3 linked regions of the Caenorhabditis elegans genome follow. The protein of the gene in region 1 interacts with the protein of each later gene in a pairwise test. Each region holds a gene or a part of one and is shown in the gene's direction. Other genes may lie near its edges.

Region 1 (9,005 bases):
TTTGATTCTTTTTTATCTCATAATCACTAACTAGAATGTTTCTTTTCCAGCTGTTGCCACTTTTTGGTTTTCATCTTCGTGTTTCTAGTCCGAAAATTATTTTTTGGCGGCGATTTTTAGTACGATCTGGATATTCTAGTTTGATTTTTTTTCTGGTAAATGTGAAGCTAACGTTCTGGGTTTTTGTTCAATTTCACAAAGATACTATAATTTTTTAGATATATGTGTTTTCTCAGATCAGCACTTTAATTCAGAAATCAAGGCAAACAAATGTGTAAACCTTCTAAATGAATTAATTGAACATTTTGTATATTTTTTTAAATTAATTTTTGGGTGTGATTATGAGATTCTGGATTCTACTTCGTTTGAATTTTGGAATTGGAAAAATAGTCTGTTTCAACATTTCCAGATATTTAGATAGTTTATTGAATAATTGTTTAGTCTCACTCTTTTTCCCACTATCTTGCCCACTAAATTTTTTTTACATTTGTAGAGCTTGGCAAATTTGGCAGATCTCTTTTTCCAATACTTGCAGTTCTTAACAAACTCCGAAAAATTTGTTTTTTTTTTTAATTTTTTTTGGAGCACCAAATCTATTGAATTCTTACCACACATCTGGTTTCTGAATGAACTCCTTGTGGTGTGTCTGCTTAATCATCAAAATAATTCAATTTTGTGTCATTTTACTAAATCTTTGGGGACAAAATCAATAGTTTTGGTCAAATTTGTACTGTCAAATTGTTGCTGTGTGCGGCGAATTTTGAAATTTGCCAAGCTCGGTAAACGGCAAATTCGGCAAATTCGTCAAATTTGCCGCACAATAATTTTTAAATTATTTTTGGATGTGATTATGAAATTGTGGGTTCTACTTCGGTTGAATTTTGGAATTGCAAAGATAGTCTATTTCAACATGTCCACATATTCAAATAGTTTATTTGTAAAGTAATTGTTTGGTCATGATAAAAATGTTTCTCTTCCAGTTTTTCACACTATCGGTTTCCATCTCCGTTTTCAGACCAGCAATAATTTTTTTGGTAACATGTCTGGATTTTTTAGTTTTATTGGGTTTAGTATACAAGAAAACATGTAAACCTCGAGGATATATGTCTCTCGAAACAACAGGTTTGAAACTCAGTGTTTAAAAAAGTATCATTATAGCTCAAAGTTCGATTTCAAATTATCGCAGGAAAAATTTAATAACAGTAAAATTTTACAACATGAATCCATACAAATTGCAGGTTTTTTTGTGATTGATAAAAATTTTTACAAAATAAGCTTCAATCAAAAAGCTATAAATATCCCAAGAACATGTTCATCATTGCGTTTCGTTGTTGACAATAATAAAACAATTTCATGAATCAGTAAAAGTTACATTTTTCAAAAATTTTATTTATTTACTTCGGCATTACAATGATAGTCTGTTTCAACATATCCACATATACTTCAACAGTTTATTGAAAAATTATTCCACGCTGGGTTAAATAAAACATTCCACTTAAATAAAACAAAGCATTAAATAAAACATTCTAAAACATTCCACATACCATGAAAGAAACAAAAAATTACAAAAATGTTTTGTGGTGTTTTAAAATTTTGTTTTGAAGAAAAATATCTTTACCGTTTCAAAGACTTATCAAATTAAAATGTATTACAATCTTTTCAGTTCCTTGAATGGTACAGGCATGTCGAGCTTCTACTTTTCAATGTAACCAATTACGGAAATAGTTTTCAGCCAAAATAATTTAAATATAACTGAAATATTTCCCAATATCCCAATAGTTTGATCAAATCCACAAGAACACGTTGTGTTCTTGCAAAAAGAGAAATGCATTAGCCAATTAGCCAAATACAACTGTCACCTTTTTGGCTTCTTCTCACTTTTATCCTTTTCTTTACACTTTATCAGCTAGTGTGACCTATCTGTTGATAAGGAAATTGAGAGATAAATGGTCACTTTGAACAATCTTCGACTTGGTTAGAATATAGTTTTCGATTTTTCTATTCATACCGTTTCACAGTTAATCAATAAATTTCCAGATATTAATGACGAGATGCTGCAATCAAAACTTCCCATCATTTCTAATTTTAGTGGCTTCCGCTCTATTTATCACTTTTATCGGCTCAATTGACAGTGAACACAATTTCCATCCACTTCTCGCTGCTCCACGGACACTTCCAGGAGTTCGAGTCAGAATATTGCCACGTGGATTGGCCTACTTGAATCATGTAGGTTTTTCTCGTAGTAGAAGTTAGCACAAAAATAAAAACTGAAAAATTCCGGCAACAACGAAGAAAATCGAATTCGATTTCTTCGTAAATTCATTTGCGCGGGAAATATAAATTCAAATACTTTAAGTTTGACTTCATGTTCAGTTTCCAGTATTTTGCTCATTAGTGATTTTTTTAAAATAATTAGTTGAAATTTTTCAATGTTTCACGAATCTGTTAATTGAATTAATTTTTTCAAAGTGTGCTTTTTGTTCCACTATTTCAAAAATTGATAATAAAAACATTTCAGTTAGCAGCCAACCTACTCGCAGATCAATTGCCCCGACTCATACTTCCAGACGTCGAGCACATTTTGCCAAGTAATCAGGGTATTATCTACATTTCGAAAGTCCATTTATCACGGTAAGGTATCGTTACACAATTGTTGTGATAAGATTAAAAAGACGGAATAAGAAAACCATAAAAATTACATGTTCCAGTTATAAGATTAAAACATATGTTGCAACAAATAAGAAAGTTGTAACAGGACGTTTAGCGAATAAAATATTTGGACAAAATTCAACAGATTTAGAAGTTATTAAACACTTTGAACATTCGTTTAAATTTTGTTGGAAATGAAAAAGTTCTAAAAATGTTTTCTGATAATTTCAATATTCAATTGCACTAAAAAAACAATCCAGAAATTTCCAGATTCCGCCGAGCGGAGCATCATCAACTAAATTCCACGGCACCAAATAAAATCTCATGGACTATGCAGAATATGGATATTGGGTTAGTTTTTGTGGAAAAATTTGCATAATACTTTGTAAATGTCAAAAAAGGTGTTTAATGTGCTCCCAAATCGGTCATGTTTCTAATACATTTTAAATGAAAGAACAAAAAACAAGTCTAGTATTTCGTGATTTCAAAAATACATGCTTAAAATTTTTGACTTTTTATCTTTAAACTAACGGCAAAATTTGAGTTGAAAAAAAAAAACGTATGATACTTCAAAAAACTAGGCATAATTTTTGATATCTAACACGATCTGCGTTTTTATTATTTCAAGTGCACATTTCTATAAAAAATAACTGTTTCAACAAAATTTAATATAACTTCGTCAAAGTTCTAGCTTGTTCAACCTAATTTCTGTTTCAGATTATTAGGAGACTTGAGTGGATCTGTAAACATAGTGGTTCCACTTAACTTGACCGGACAAGTTGAGATTCTTGCACAAGGACTTACTTTTCATTTGGAGTCTTCGGTGAGTTTTTTAAAAAGTAACATACAATTTTTATTTAACTGAAAGTAAAATAATGCAGTATTCAGCAAAATTTTTTTAAAAAATCTTTACTGTTTCAGTTAGTTTTCAATAGTCGGCAGAATGTTACAACTGCAATTTTCTAAAAATATAACAATAAAACACATTTTAAAAAAACTGTTTGGGGGATCTCAAATTTTTCAAACAATCGGCTAGGGGCAAACTACTCGTGTTCACGTTCAATTTTGAAGTCAAAATGGGAACAAAATTGCGTATAAACTTCAAAAGTCTGAAAATAAAGTTTTAAAAAATTTGAAAAAAAAAACCTGTTTCGGTATATTTAGAAATTCTGCACAAAATTTGTTTTTCAATTTATCTGAAGTTGCGATAACTGTAGCTCAATGTTTAGATCGAAAAAGGTAAAAATGGATCAGCAAAAGTAACTTCTCTGTCTTGCCTTGCCACAATCAGAGATGTAACTGTTACAAATCACAACGGAGGACTCTTTGGATTAGCAGTTTCAGTGTTTAAACAAGGAGTTTCCGATAATGTCCGGCATATGCTTCAAACAATAATTTGCAAGAAAGTTCGAAAATATATAGATGAAGATGCAAATGAGAAGTTGGCAGAAGCGCAAACATCAAGTAAATTGGCAGATGCTTTGGAGACAAATGCATTAAAAATGATATCGGTTGGAGGAGATGAGAAATCAAGAATTGATATTTCAAGCATATTTGATTCATCGTTGGCATCCAAATTTTTCATTGATTTCAGGTATGTGGATATTTATTTGTTCAAATTTTTACTGTTTCAAAGTGTAATTTTGACAAAAAAGCTTCATTTGAGCTCTACTGGTGTCTTTTTTTCATAAGTTTTTTTTCTGCTTCTGGTATTCAACGATGGATTTTATGAAAATTTCATAAGGTTTTGATAAACTTCGAAAACATAAAATGATCATTGTTAATTGAAAAACTTGTTTCGAGTAAATTAAATATCGTGTTTGAGAAAAAAAATGGTAAACATCCTGTAAAAATGTTTTACGTTTTTAAGTTTATCAAAATCTAATATAAGGCTTCAAACATTTAATTATCGAAGAAATAGCTAGATAAAGGCGGTGCAAAATTACGATTTTTCATGCATTAAATTTTACTTTACTTTAATTTTTTTTTAAATTTCCGACCCTTCGCGTCTAACATTATTTTTACTTGTCAGTACCAATTTCAGAATAGCGGACCAGGAAAAAAAGCAATAATATACTTTCAGTATTTTTTTTTTCGTTTTTCAATTTAATTTTCTTTTTCGGGATTTTACCGAGATATGTATACTAAAAATGGGCTCAAAAAAGAGATGCATATATTTAAAAAAAAAAAGTTCTCAAATGTTGTAAGCTCATTCAACATTTTGGTAAAAGATTTGGAAAGATATCAAATTTTTAAAAAAGTTTGAGCTTTTTTTTATTGATCCAAAATGTAGCTGTTCAAAATTTTGATTTTTTACTGTTTCATCTAGTAAATTTAACGTAACAGCAATAATTCTGCTATTGCCATTTTCCATAGACGCAGAGGTTTGCCACATTCTTCAAACTTTGTTTCAGACTAAAAGAACACCCAATTTGCCAAGAAAACACTGTAGAACTAGCATCTTGGGGTGAAATCTCATTTATGGGACAAGGCGACACTCCATTTGGACCAGTTGATGCTTCATGGCCAGGAAGATCACCTTTCAAGACAAATGTTGTAGATTCAGTGACAAATAAAGACTCGATGATTGAATTAGTTGTATCCGACTTTTTACCAAATTCACTGCTTTATCATGCCTATGTGTAAGTTCATCTTTTTTTAAATTTTAATAAGTTGATTTATTCTAGACAAAGATTCATAAAAGTATTATTAACTCCAAGAACAAAGGGTGTCTCCTCATTCTTACGAACAACGTGTGAAGGATCGTTTTGTATTTCTGATTTGGCTCCACAGCTCGCCGAGCAATATCCGAACTCTACTGTTGAGCTGGCAATGAGTGCCACAAGAGCTCCGGCAGTGCTTTTCAGTGAAAAAAATGGAGGTGAGTACTGGGGGCTGGGACTTTTGGAAACTTAAAAAGAAATGTGTCTGAGTTCTTGATACATCTTTGATACATTGTGTTGAACTAAAATTTGTACCACAATTCGGTATCAATCAAGGGTTCATTTTAAGGTTGAAGTTTTGTTTTTGAAAATATCCGTTTTACGGAATCCTTTTAACATATTTTCAGTTTTGTTTAGCCAAGAAAATGAAAAAGTAAATACCAAAAAATTGATTGGATTCACTGAAACTCTGCTGCAGAATAAAATTATAAAAACTCCCTGAAACAGCAAATTTTTTGAATTTTCAGGAACGATTTCCGTTTCACTTGGAGGTTTAGTTGTGGTCTTTGCTGTAAACGGAAACCAGCGTCGACAGGTTATTGTGGTAGATTTGGATGTAGTTGCAGATGCAAGACTGTCCATTCAGGTTAGTTGTTCTGTGAAACATTACCATAAGTTTCCAATTTTAAGGGGCACAACGTGAGTGGTTCTGTGGAGCTTCGGAAGTTTGATCTAAAGCGTCGAACGGGAACAGTTGATATTTCTGATGCTGAAATTGATGATATTGCTCTTTTAGTCAGTCAGTTGTCTGAAAACCTTCTCAATGGGCTATTGGTCAATGGTATGCCTATTCCACTTCCTCATGGTAAGCGAATTGATACATTGAGGGTACAGTAAACGGTAAATTAACAGTAAATTGATACGAATTATTTTTATACAGACTTTGAAACAGTAAATCTTTTAAAAAATACCTAACTTGAGAAAATTGTTTGCAAGTAGGATATGTTTTTCGAGCGAGAGAAAATGAACTGAAGCCTCAAAAAAAAATTTTTTTTGAATTGATACGGCTTAAATTCCTAGCATTTTGTTACTTTTAAATTATTACGAAGCAAGTTTATAGTAAAAACGACTGTTCAAAACAAAACGTCAGAGAGCATTTTTGTTAAACTTGAAAAAAAAAACATCTGCTATGGTAATTGAAGTAGCCGAATGAGTCGCATAGTTCAAAAGCAAGAAAGAATAGGTACATAAAAAATTTTTAGCGTTGAACATTAGTGAAAAACTTAATTAGAACTATTAAATGACAATCTGAAATAGTATAAGAAAATATTTGTTTTTGAATCAAACAATACAGTTGATTATTAGGTTTTTTCACTGGTTTTTGTGTCCTAAAACATGTATTAGTCAAATTAAACCAAATTTCCGATCGCCCACTGAAAATATTGAAAAAAAGCTAAATTTATTTAAATGAAAATCCTTTTCGCCAGTGTGTTGTTACGTACATATTAGTTAAAAAAATATAGTGACCACTATTAAATGACAATCTGAAACAGCATAAAAATTAATAATATTTTAATTTTAAAAAAAAGTTCAGTGCTTCGAATCAAGGACAGTCACATTAATGTTCTGAGCCGACGAATGCATATTCAAGTTGATGTGGATGTTGATGAGAGGAGGCTATCAAAATTGGCATCTCAAACATTTTTCAAGACTCCACAGTTTTCAGATGTCAATCTCAGTTAGTTTATTTTTTCTTAACATGGGAATTTACATTTTCATGAAGTTCATAAAATGTTCGCTTGGTCGTTACATTTATTATGACTCACGAAATTCCAAATGCAAATATTTCAGGCCCACTCCGACGCATGGTCCGTCCCGTTCCATTCCTGGAGGCCCGCCAACAAATTTCTCAGTTTAATTTCAACAATTGGTCAACCGATTCGGGAAGAAGAATATTTCGTTAAAAATGAATTGTATTATTTTGCCCATTGAAATTATCATTATTCTAGTCCAGATTGTATCACACCTGTTTTGCTGTTTCACGGGTTGCATTTAAGTGTCTGTACATATGAAATTTGTTAATTTAACATATTTTTTTGTTGTGGAAAAAAACGGCTTGAAGTTGAAAATAAGTCATTTAATCACTGCTATGAACTAAACGGATTTTCAGAATATGCTCATAGCTTTGTAAAAGGAAACTTCTACCCAAAGTTGGCATAACTTTTTAAACAAGTAAGTCACATAAATTTAAATCTTTTTTCTGACAGAAAAAATATTTAAGATAAAAATAAAACATGATGGAACACTTATTTTAAACATTTTGATAAAAACCCGCCTAATAAAGTTTTATTTTATTTCACTGCCAAAAAACAGAGTAATCTATAACTTTATCTAATATCATCAGAGCAAATTTAACAAATATCAATTTAAAATTGTTCTGAAACAGTAATTTATTATTTGAAAACATAAAAGTTACTTTCAGTATTAAACTTTTCTTCGAAGCTTACCAGAAACCGTATTAAAAAAATAAATTCCATCGTGATAATTTAAGAAGTTTCAGTCAGAGTAATATTTTTCAGAAAATGTTTTAAAAGTTTCCGTCCATTTTTTCTTCCAGTAATTTTTTCCTCTCAATAAAAATTGCCCATGATATCATCAATTTTCTTCTTCTTTTAAAATGCTGTCTCATGACATGTCATTCATTTATCTTGCAACTTTTCAAAAAAAAACGCCTGAAAAAAGTTTACCCAAAAAAAAGTAAAAATTTATTTTTTTTTTTCCTTTTTTCCTACTTTCTTTCAACACGATTTTCTTTCTCCTATTCCCCGCTGAAAGATTCATCAATTTTCTGTCTTTCTTCATACTCTTCCTTCTTTTTGTCAGAAGATGTTTGGCACCCCCTATCTAATTTCGGAAACCTTTTTTCTCTTCATTCCTCTTTATTTTGTAGTCATCTCTCCAAAAAAAAAACGAAAAAGACGACTGGTACTCAGAAAATGTTAAGTACTTCAAAACTAGAAAAGACGAGAATCTTCCGAAATTGAGCCAACAGAAAAAAAGTACGAAAAGTCAGACAGAAGTTGTGTGTGCAAGAAAAAACAAAAGTCAATTTTGAAATCAAATTGCATTTTTTGCCTTCTATTCCCATCATTCTCGTGTTTTCTACTCTCAACCAGGTTTAGTTTTTAGTAAAAAATATTTGTTCTCTGTTTCAAGAACTTTTTTTCAATATTCGATTATTCTTTTTTCAATATTAACCACGATCAGTACTGAACAATTAGAAATATAAATCTCCAAAAAACATTTTTAGTATTTGATTCTGAGTTCAATTGATTATTTTTTATTTGAATTCCGTGCTCTTTGCATTGTTAGGAGTAAAAAGATGTTTATTTGAAGGTTAATCGTGATTGAATTTCCTTTAAAACAATCTAAATCTGACATTAAAAAAAATAAAATTCAGAAATTCCACTACAGAAAAAAAACCAACTTTCAAACCAATGAGAGTCTTCGAACTCCGCCCCCTCTATCTGATTGGTTGAAAAGTGGGCGGAGTAAATCACTGATTGGTCTCACAGTTCTCATTTAGGAAAAAAATTTAATTGGGAGCTCAATTCGAAAAAGCCTAACTTTAATTGTCAGCTTTTCAAGTCTTAAAAGATTCATGAATTAAAACTGCTAAATTTCCAGAAGCGA
Region 2 (4,709 bases), on another chromosome or scaffold:
ATTTATTATTTTTATTCAATTTTAGTGTTGTAATATACAAAACTGTTTGCTCAATCTGGAACCAAAAGTACTTTTTTGTTGAAAGTTTGAAATAGGTTTTCGAAATTTGCACGAAAGTTGCCAATTGCCTCCGATATTCCGTCGGAATTTTTGAAAAAAACTTCAGAGAAAAACTAAGGTTCAGAGAAAATGTAAATTATGAATGTGTGCTCTGAGATAAACGCAAAAAAATGCTGAAAGTAAAAAGAGATGAGATTGTGTACGGAAATAGAGGCCGTGCGCGGATTATGGAAGTCACAAGGAAAAATAAAAAATAAATACATACACGGAGAGAGAAAAGAGAAAAAGTGAAAGAAAAATGAAGTCGAGATTGTTTTTGTGCATTTCTATTCTATGTGTAGAAAATTTAAGACGTTGTGGGTGGAATACTTTTCAGATTATCTGAGCCGCTTATTGTAAAATAATCGTAATTTTTCTGTCAAAAGAAGGGAGTATGATTGGAGATGGTAGAAGCAGATTGAAAAGATTAGGGATTATATGATTGGAAAGATTTAATGTTTGTTGTTAGTTGTGCATTATAGTATTATTGATGTATAGAGGTGGTTTTAGAATCTTGAACACGCTCTGAAAATTGCGGATGAGTTGCCCATTGGTTTGATTAAGAATTGAGAAATGAGTGAAAAGTATAAAAATAGATAAAAATCAGTAACGTCGAAAATAACAAATGATTTTTAAAAATAAATTTTAATCAAGTACATCTTGATAACAATAATTTTATAAATTCAACAACTTCATCATTATGTCATTTTAAAACATTTGGACAAGCTGGACACTTCATCGAATGGATGGCGGAATTCTCTTCTTTGCTGGATTGTCAACGTTCGGGTCCTACAACAAAGATGCATCAACGTTTATTCTCGTTCAGCGTTGGATGGTGGATGTCAGATATTATGGATAGTGCTTCAACTGCCTTAAAGCACAGTGAATTCCTCTGTTTAGAACCTGAAATAACGCTATTTGATCCCAAGTACCTAAAATCAATATGGTTATGTTTCTTAATTGAAAGGATGCTATTTGATTTTGAGTACTTGAAACAATATAAGTTTTGACAGGCTTGCAATAAGATGGGACTTTGATTTTTAGGTTTTTTTTAAATTCCAATCTCTAGCAACTTCTGTGCAAGTTTTTTAAATGGCCAATTGACAAGTCTCAAGCATCGACTTTGCAGACTTTTTTCTCCGTTAAATCTTTCCAATTGTCTCCGATCAGTTCTTTCACTAAAAGTAATTTATCTTAGAGGCCCGAATGCTACTGTTGTGAGGGCATCATTTGTTTGAGATACCAACTGCTACTGATTTAATGAGTCATTACAGAAAGCATCAAGTTTTTATTGCGATTCAAAGTTTATAGAAAACCAATAACCAACCATTAAGCTTATTACATTAAAAACAAAAAGAAAATGCGAAATGGAAATTTAGTTGAGGTATTGTCCGACCATGGCTTGAACCTTCTCGTCTGAAAATTAATATAATTATTAAATTGAAAATTATTAGAAGTTTATTAAACTCACTCTTGAAGAATCCGGTGAGGATTGGGAATTCCTTGGCGATGGAGTCCTTGGCATCTTGGGAAAGTCCCTTGTAGGCTTCGATGTGGCTGAAATGTTATCCTGACAGAGAAATTTGTAATTTTCTCGAAACTTACGTCTTGGCGGTGGTCTTGAGGGTGTCGAGGGATGGCTTCTCTCCGGCCAAGTATTGAGCGTGGATCTTACGTCCTTCAGCGATAGCCTTCTTGACGAAAGCCTTAGCCTCATCATTGAGAGCGTTGACCTTGTCCTTGACGATTTGGTGGAGCTTGGAGGCCTTCTCGTGGAGAGTTGGAGACTTTTCCTTGAGGGCGTTCAAGAACTGCAATTTAATATTTTGATTATTGGTCTAGAGTTTTCAATTTTCAGACTCACATCATCCTCGCTCTTGAAGTCCTTGTATCCCTTGGCGACCTCCTTAAGAATAGCCTTCTCTTCTGGGGTGATGGACTTAAGATGCTCGGAGACCTCGGCTGGGATAAGGGACTTGTATTCAGCTGGGATATCGTCATAGTTCTCTGGGACCTCCGGGACTGGAGCAGAGAAGGCGAGGGCAGCGACAGCGGCGAGGATGATAGTGGCACGGATCATTACTGAAAATTTGAAAGATTATGAGAATCGGGGATGTGACGAAGAAGAAGAAGAATAAGAAGAAGAAGAAAGCGAAATGAGACTGAAGTGTTGATTTCCATTGTTCTGAGCATCTTTTAAAGTCGAACAAAAAGAGGCGGACCACATGGTGACCCCAGAAGAATTACAATCAACTAGCGAGAGTGTAGTCCTTTGAGAGACTCAGAAAATGAGCAATTCAAATGGGCGGAGTCAGTGAGATAGAGCAGTTGCGAAGAATCAGCAGCAGCAAAGGGAATCGAAATAGAAATAGAAAAAAGAAACATTTTTTCCTAAACTTCATTACACTAAAAGTGGTTTTTTATAATAGAAATAAGGGAAAAATGAGGTCTGCGTCTCGAAGGGAACGTGATATTTCATCGGAACTCTCATGGTTCAACGCACTATTTCGTTGATGAAACGAGGTTCAAACATACATCATCCAAGGTCGTATAAAAGATCGGCTGGCGGAGCAGAATCGGCACAGCAGAAGCAGCTCAAAGCTTCATCTTCTACTTCGAAACTTTGCTAAATGGTTTCTTTTTTCTAGTTTACTGGTTCTTTAACTTTGATATCACCTTCTATTTCTATTTCACCTTAAAATTTCCCACCCCTAATTTAAAATATTGCAGTAATGATCCGCGCCTTCCTCGTCGTAGCCCTTGCCTCCGTGGCTGTCTTCTCTGCCCCAATCCCAGAGGTTCCACAGAACTTCGACGACATCCCAGCCGAGTACAAGGGACTCATCCCAGCTGAAGTTGCCGAGCACCTCAAGGCCATCACCGCTGAGGAGAAGGCTGCTCTTAAGGAACTCGCCCAAAACCACAAGGAATACAAGACCGAGGAAGAATTCAAGGCTGCTCTCAAGGAAAAGTCTCCATCCCTTTACGAGAAGGCTGGAAAGCTCGAGGCTCTCCTCACCGCTAAATTCGAGAAACTCGATGCCACCGCTCAGGCTCTTGTCAAGAAGATCATCGCCAAGGGACGTGAACTCCACCAACAATACCTCGCCGGAGATAAGCCAACTCTTGATTCTCTTAAGGAACTCGCCAAGGGATACATCGCTGAATACAAGGCTCTTTCTGATGACGCCAAGGCTACCATCACCGCTGAGTTCCCAATCCTCACTGGATTCTTCCAAAGTGAGTTTTAAAATTCTGAGATTTTTGAGCATTCAAATTGTTTAATTCAAACAATAATTTTATTATTTTCAGACGAAAAGATTCAAGCCATCGTCGGACAATACGTCAACTAAGAAGTAATAATTATGATATGGTTTTCCAATTATTTTCCCCCAAAATAAAGTATTTTAATTCAAATAACGATTGATTGTTCTCTAGAAAAGATGGAAAGAATTGAAGTTTGGTCGGTGAAATGAATCCCAAATGGCTACCACATGTCGGCTTCACGTAAAGCACATTTTCGAAACTTTCGAGTTGTCTTCACAAAGTTTATGGGTTTTGTTGTGGTTGTTGTGATTGTAAACAATATGGTTCCGAGGTCCATTGAGCAGTTGAAAGAATTGGGTACAAAGTGCAGGGTTACGGTAGCTTATTTGCCAACAACGTAATTCAGAAACTGGAAGGACAAGTTGCATAGTTTTTTGAAGTTTGAAAAGCGCAGGTAGGAAAACTTGATAATTTTTCAAAATTTCCAAAAGAGAATAAGTCAAAAACTAATAGGTTTTGCAAAAAAAATTTCTACATACAAAATATAGGTCATAACGTTTTCTTTGTTTTTGTTATTGACAATTTGTTATCAACTCTTCTTTGAAAAAAGTTAAAGCATTTGACATCTGGCGGCTTAATTTTTTCCAATCATTTTTGGAGCTTTCTGTAATTAACTGAATTTCATGGTATTTTCAATTAAAAAAAACAGATTTTCATTCTTTATGCTCCTCGAATTCGATTCTTCAACATTTTTGATAGAAAATGTTAAAAGTGCGACATCGTGGTCGCGTTTTTGTAAAGCTCATTTGCAGAACTTCATAGCATTTGTCAATCCGTGATCTCTACTTTTCCATCTCTTTTTCAATCGAATCTAGAACATTCCAATCCCTATCATCTTATCTCTTTATCAATTTCATCAGGCTCTTCATTGACCCCATTACACTTTGATGTACCTGCAAACCTTAGTCAATGAGATGTTTTGTTTCAGTTTCATCAGAGGGATCTTCTGAACGCTTCAGACACTTCATAACACACTACAAACCACAAAGTATGTCTATGGCTCAATTGTGTCACGTGATGTCTTGCAGCTTTTTGAGAAATGAAAGAAGAAGAAGCTCAAAAGCACAAAGACAGTGTAAAAAAGAAAAAAAACTAAAGGTGAATCAGGAATCATGAAAAAATCAAAGAAAAAGTGCAACTTTATCTCTTTTTTATCATCACCACCAATTGCTCAAATTGTTCCCATTAATGCATGGAAGATGGAGCCAGGTGTGATGTGGTACTTCTCAATTTGTTTGGCTGAAAAGGTCATTGAACAACTGACTTGAAGAATTATGTCAGAT
Region 3 (5,625 bases), on another chromosome or scaffold:
GAACTGGCAAATTTTCGAACCTGTCTGCTTACTCCCGCCAGTGTCCTATAATTTAAACGCGACTGCCCATTTCACTCCGGCTTCTGCCCTCTATTGCCCGCTCTGACGGCTACTATCCAGGCGGATTTTTTTGGTTCTGCAACTTCTGCAATTGCTGGTTGCCGAAAATCTCGCTTGCCGTAACATCCCTGCTCCTATCGCCCAGTATTACCCATAGTTGCCTAGGCTGATTTACTCACATAAAAATTTAATGCTCAGAACATGAGCTTTTTGTGCTCTCTTACTAGTTATAATGCGAAAAAGCTCAATTTTCATCTCGTGCACGATGGGAGGATTTTTGAGCAACCTTTTCGATTTCTTTAAAAATTTTAGTATCAGGATTATTAAAAACACATAGATATTAAAAAATATTGTTGAAAAATTCCCACCCACTAATTAGAATGACGTGACTTAAAAAAAACAAAAAGAATGAAGAAAACGAGGAAATGGGGGAAATGTGGGTGGAAAATGAGAGGAAAGGCAATAAAATACATACATACACTCACCCCCGGATATACAATTATTGAGGATGAAGAGGAGGAGGAGAAGAAGAAAATCTGGAAATTGAATAATAATAATTTGTAGCAGGAGTAGGCAGAAAACTATTTTTCCGGCAAACCGGCAAATTGTGGTTTTTTTGTGAAATTCAGAATTTCAATTTCAATCGGCAAAATTGTACACATCCTAGGAATGTTCATACATCTATTTTTAAAAGTAAGCAAATTATATAAAAATATCTAAAGAAAACGGGAAAAGTTCAAATAGGCACAGTTTTAAGTATTTTCGTCTTATAAAAAATCCCTCTAAATATTTACGGCAAATCAGATATTCGGCAAATCGGCAAGCCGGCAATTTGTCGACAAAAAAATTTGCCGGAGCAATTGCCGCCCACCCCTGATTTGTAGTGCGATTAAACAAATTCAACAATATATTTTAATAGTTTTCAAGAAAAAATGTTTTTTTTTTAATTCAAAGTTAGGCAGGGGTCATGATATTGGGAAAATCGTGAGGCTGAATTTTTCTGCAATTTTCAAATTTCCAAAACTATGCACAATGAGCTTCTCGAGAGACTCCTTTCTCTCTCTCTCTTTTTTTCGCTTCGTTTTTTCTATTTTCTAGAAGGGACGCGCACTCACTCACGCTACACTCAATTTAGTTAAATTGCTCTAGAATGTGTTGCTGGAATGGGGAAAAGAGGAACAACGTCATCTCTCGAGAGCTCTCATAATTGGGTGAACGCATCACTGAACACACCACGACAACTTTGGCTGGGCAGGAAAATGAGTTTATGGGAGAAACGGGAAAGTGTTGGAAATGTTGTTTTTTGTAAAGATTGACTGAAAACAATTTTAAAAATTTAAAATGTTCCTGTGATTTTTTTAATTCAGAACTTCGAGCCTCCCGCAAAATTTTTTCGGAAATTTTAAACTGCTTGAATTTCCCGCCTGAATTATTTGAAAAAATAATTTTTCCGACAACGTTTTTTTTGATGAAAACTTAGAATTAAAATACTATAAATCCTGAGAATGCGTATTGCGCAGCATATTTTACGCGCAAAATATCTCGTAGCGAAAACTACAGTAATTCTTAAAATGACTACTGTAGCGCATGTGTCGATTTACGGGCTCAATTTTTGAAGTTATTTTTTTTCGAATAGTAACATCGAAATATCATTTTCATTCGTTTTTTCGTATTATTTTCCCTTTTCTCTTAAAGTTAATTTTAAAAATCGAACCCGTAAATCGACACAAGCGCTACAGTAGTCATTTAAAGATTACTGTAGTTTTCGCTAAGAGATATTTTGCGCGTCAGATATGCTGTTCGCGTTTGGGGAATATCGATCGTCACTAGTCAAAAATTTTAGAGGGGTATATAATGTTTATAATGTTTATATGACAATTTTTAAAATAATGCATCTATTTTTCATTGAGAAATTTTTATTAATTGTTTTTCTTATATTCATTTGAAACTATAACATCATATCTTTGATTAATCATTATTTAAATCTTAAAATTTCTCGAGCCCTATTTAAATAAAACTTAATTAAATTTATCGACAAGATCCCGCAGAAAAACTAAATTTGAAATTCCCTCTCATTGTGTTGCGTACAGCACACCAAATGTTACGCAACTTTCTCTGCGTCTCTCTCCATCGCATTGTCTCTCTTCTACCGTAACCTTCAAGTTTTCTCTTCAAAAAATAGTTTTTCAAATCCAATTTTCGTTCTTTTTCTGTTTTCCCGCTGTAAAACTAAGAAATCTGAACAAAATGCAATTTTATTTCTTTTCCCAAGCTTTTTCTTATCAATCAATCTCTTTGTTCTCTTTCTCCTACTCTTCTCCGCTTCAAAACTTGTTATCAAATCGTACTACTGCTTTCTGCACAAGTATATATTATCTCCCTCAGTCTTATCGTTATATTTTACATTCATCGCTACTATTTTCCATCAAAAAGTAATCGTACTATTCAGAGAAAATGAGCTCGCTCACCGACAAAACCCGAAATGGAGCCCTGAAGCGGAATCTGCTCCGCCAAATGCTCAAAGCGAGCGTCTTCAAATTCGGCGAGTTTCAGCTCAAGTCTGGGCAGATTTCACCGATTTATATCGATCTTCGCGAATGCTTTGGGCATCCGGGGCTTTTGGTGAGTTTTTTAAAGTTTAAAAAAAAAATAATAGCTTATTTTAATGATTTTTATTTAAAAGAAAACTATTTCCAGATGCTTATCTCAGAAGCGATATCGAAGCAGGTGGAGATTAGCGAGGTTCAGTACGCTGGAGTTCTTGGAATCCCATACGCGGCTCTTCCCTACGCATCAGTCGCCGCTGGAAACTATCTGAAGAAGCCGCTGCTCATCGTTCGCAAAGAGGCCAAGTCCTACGGCACGAAGAAGCTCATCGAGGGATTGTACCAGCCAAACGATCGTCTGATCCTCATCGAAGACGTCGTGACGACAGGTGGAAGCATCCTGGACGTGGTAAAAGTGCTTCACACAGAGAATTTGGTCGCCTCGGATGTATTTTGCATTCTGGATCGAGAACAAGGCGGGCGTCAGAAGCTCCAGGACGCGGGTGTCACGCTGCACAGCCTGCTCGACATGCAAACAGTTCTCACATTCTTGTACTCAACTGGAGCGATCGGTGACGAGCAGTGGCACGGAATTGTTCAGGTTAGTCAAATTATCTCGATTTTCTATTTAAAAATAAAATAATTGATTATTTCAGGCTCTCAACCTTCCGTACACCTCCCCAACAAAGCTGGAAATCAACAGCGAGCTCGAAAACCTGTCCAGTCTACCGTACGTGGAAAACGTGCGAACTCCGCTTGCGGAACGCGAATCCCTCACAGAATCTGCACTCATCAAGAAAATTCTTGGAATCATGCGCCGGAAGAAGTCGAATCTGTGTCTCGCTGTCGACTACACTACCGTCGAGCAGTGCCTTCAGATGATCGAGCTCGCTGGTCCATTTGTGCTGGCGATCAAGCTTCACGCCGACGCTATCACCGATTTCAACGAGGAATTCACGAGGAAGCTGACGACGATGGCAAATGATATGGACTTTATCATTTTCGAGGATCGGAAGTTTGGCGACACTGGAAACACGAACCTTCTTCAGCTCACTGGAGCCCAGAAAATCGCCAACTGGGCGGATGTTGTGACTGTTCATGCCGTACAAGGAAGTGACAGCATTGCAGGAGTCTTCAGGAAGCTCGCCAAAGATCCGACTTACAGGCTCAGTGGAGTTCTCCTCATCGCGCAGCTCAGCACCAAAGGATCTTTGACTGCGCTGGAAGGATACACCGAGACCGCCGTCAAGATTGCCAACGAGAATCGTGACGTGATTTCTGGATTCATCACTCAGACGAGAGTGTCTGCTTGCTCGGATCTTCTCAATTGGACGCCCGGTGTGAATCTCGACGCGAAATCCGACTCGGCCGGTCAGCAGTGGAGAGGTGTCGACGAGGCGATCGAAGTACAGCAGAACGACATCATCATCGTCGGAAGAGGCGTCACGTCGTCCAGTGAGCCCGTTCAGCAGCTCAAGAGGTTTGTTTTTTTTTTTTTAATTAAATTTTTAAATGTCAATTTTCTCTTTCAGATATCGACAAATCGCCTGGGATGCGCTCACGAGAAGCGACGATAGCATTTGAAAGTTGAAAAATCCGGAGAGCCTATTTGTAAAGAAGAAATGTGAATATTTATCTAATTACGTATTTATTTAACTTTGTTGATTTTGTTCAAGCTTCCCCAGAATTGTTGAAATAAGTAAATTGATTGCCTCCATCTTCCTCAAATTATCAAGAAATCACATGCCCACACCATTTACTTTACTGCTAACCTGATTAATCAATATTTTCTCCGTCAAGGCGAAAAGCTACTCCTCTAAGCGATCTTATCAGTTCGAAAAATCGGCATCTGATGTGTGAACGACCCGGTGTGTATTCTATAATGTCCTTTGATCTTTTCCTCCATGCTGAAAACATCAGAAACGATTCGATTCCTTATCAGTGCCGCCGCGAAGTTGATAAAAGACACGAGCATCACTGCTCCGGGTGCATTTTCGCTTCATTTCTCCAGTTTTTCATCTTAAAATCTACAGAATGACTCGCATTCTTCCGTGTCTTTTCCTTGTCTTGCTCGCCGCTGCTCCACTTCTAGCCAATCCAGCTAACCCACTCAATCTCAAGAAGCATCACGGTGTTTTCTGTGATGTCTGCAAGGCTCTCGTCGAGGTTTGTGCTCCAAATATCTCCAATTTTCCTCGTTATTCACATATTTCAGGGTGGAGAGAAGGTTGGAGATGATGATCTCGATGCATGGCTTGATGTGAACATCGGAACTCTTTGCTGGACTATGCTGTTGCCGTTGCATCACGAGTGTGAGGAAGAGCTGAAGAAGGTCAAGAAGGAGCTGAAAAAGGATATTGAGAACAAGGATTCTCCAGACAAGGCGTGCAAGGATGTTGATTTGTGCTAAGAATAATAAATGTTTCCTTCAAAATCATCAAAATATTCTTTCATTTAACAAAAACAGAAACAACGGCGAAATTGGTTTGTGCGCGTGGAATTTTAGAGTTATAAAAATTAGAACTCGTGTTGGTTCTAGTTGTTGAATGGGGGAAAAGTTCTCAGCTACCCTGAGAACACGTAAACTAGAAAACCACACACGGTAGAAGGGAGGGGGTATAAAATTAGAAATTAGAATATAATTGTCTCGAAACACACACACACATACAAAAGAAAGTTATCTGGATAAAATATAGAGTGTGGTGAGGACTGATAATTTACAGCGGCGATTTAATAGCACCAATTAAGCACTATGACACGTGGATGTGAGGAGTGATTGTGAGATGTGGAGGTGAAGTCTACTGGACAACGCAGCATCCTCGCATGAATCGAACGTGGCGGCGGCGGAGTGCTCCGAGCTGAAAATTTAAAATAAATATACTTTCTTGAGCAATATTTATAATTACCGCTTGAGGGGAAGGTTTCGCCTCCAGTGCCATATGTTGAAGCTCCTCGGTTCTGCTGAGAATCCTGACATCATCGTCGACGCTGTCCACTTTTGCGATTGGCACATGTTGCT

What was found.
Region 2: the proteins of C55C3.1 (region 1) and far-2 interact in a two-hybrid assay, tested with the Caenorhabditis elegans proteins (one large-scale study listed by BioGRID).
Region 3: the proteins of C55C3.1 (region 1) and umps-1 interact in a two-hybrid assay, tested with the Caenorhabditis elegans proteins (one large-scale study listed by BioGRID).

The regions. Positions count from the first base shown.
Region 1 is NC_003282.8:5,707,061-5,716,065, forward strand, and holds C55C3.1 (BPI2 domain-containing protein), read left to right. Parts: upstream 1-2,035; 5' UTR 2,036-2,043; coding exon 2,044-2,226; intron 2,227-2,474; exon of another isoform or gene 2,475-2,495; intron 2,496-2,518; coding exon 2,519-2,631; intron 2,632-2,746; exon of another isoform or gene 2,747-2,767; intron 2,768-2,919; coding exon 2,920-3,000; intron 3,001-3,121; exon of another isoform or gene 3,122-3,142; intron 3,143-3,345; exon of another isoform or gene 3,346-3,366; coding exon 3,367-3,472; intron 3,473-3,840; exon of another isoform or gene 3,841-3,862; intron 3,863-3,878; coding exon 3,879-4,243; intron 4,244-4,321; exon of another isoform or gene 4,322-4,342; intron 4,343-4,844; exon of another isoform or gene 4,845-4,865; intron 4,866-5,010; exon of another isoform or gene 5,011-5,031; intron 5,032-5,063; coding exon 5,064-5,291; intron 5,292-5,318; exon of another isoform or gene 5,319-5,336; coding exon 5,337-5,530; intron 5,531-5,752; exon of another isoform or gene 5,753-5,773; intron 5,774-5,839; coding exon 5,840-5,958; intron 5,959-6,002; coding exon 6,003-6,177; intron 6,178-6,196; exon of another isoform or gene 6,197-6,217; intron 6,218-6,562; and 11 more.
Region 2 is NC_003281.10:9,078,999-9,083,707, forward strand, and holds far-2 (Fatty-acid and retinol-binding protein 2), read left to right. Parts: upstream 1-2,829; 5' UTR 2,830-2,831; coding exon 2,832-3,339; intron 3,340-3,411; coding exon 3,412-3,452; 3' UTR 3,453-3,513; downstream 3,514-4,709. Other genes in the region: far-1 (Fatty-acid and retinol-binding protein 1), read right to left, coding at 1,475-1,515, 1,571-1,656, 1,705-1,910, 1,964-2,179. UniProt on the Caenorhabditis elegans protein: Probably binds lipids.
Region 3 is NC_003281.10:10,354,533-10,360,157, reverse strand, and holds umps-1 (Orotidine 5'-phosphate decarboxylase), read left to right. Parts: upstream 1-2,509; 5' UTR 2,510-2,514; coding exon 2,515-2,682; intron 2,683-2,757; coding exon 2,758-3,207; intron 3,208-3,262; coding exon 3,263-4,086; intron 4,087-4,138; coding exon 4,139-4,190; 3' UTR 4,191-4,321; downstream 4,322-5,625. Other genes in the region: spp-1 (Saposin B-type domain-containing protein), read left to right, coding at 4,641-4,772, 4,822-5,016; T07C4.3 (ANK_REP_REGION domain-containing protein), read right to left, coding at 5,405-5,464, 5,513-5,625. UniProt on the Caenorhabditis elegans protein: Bifunctional enzyme which catalyzes the formation of UMP from orotate in the de novo pathway of pyrimidine biosynthesis. May also form UMP from uracil. Regulates the size of gut granules during embryonic development.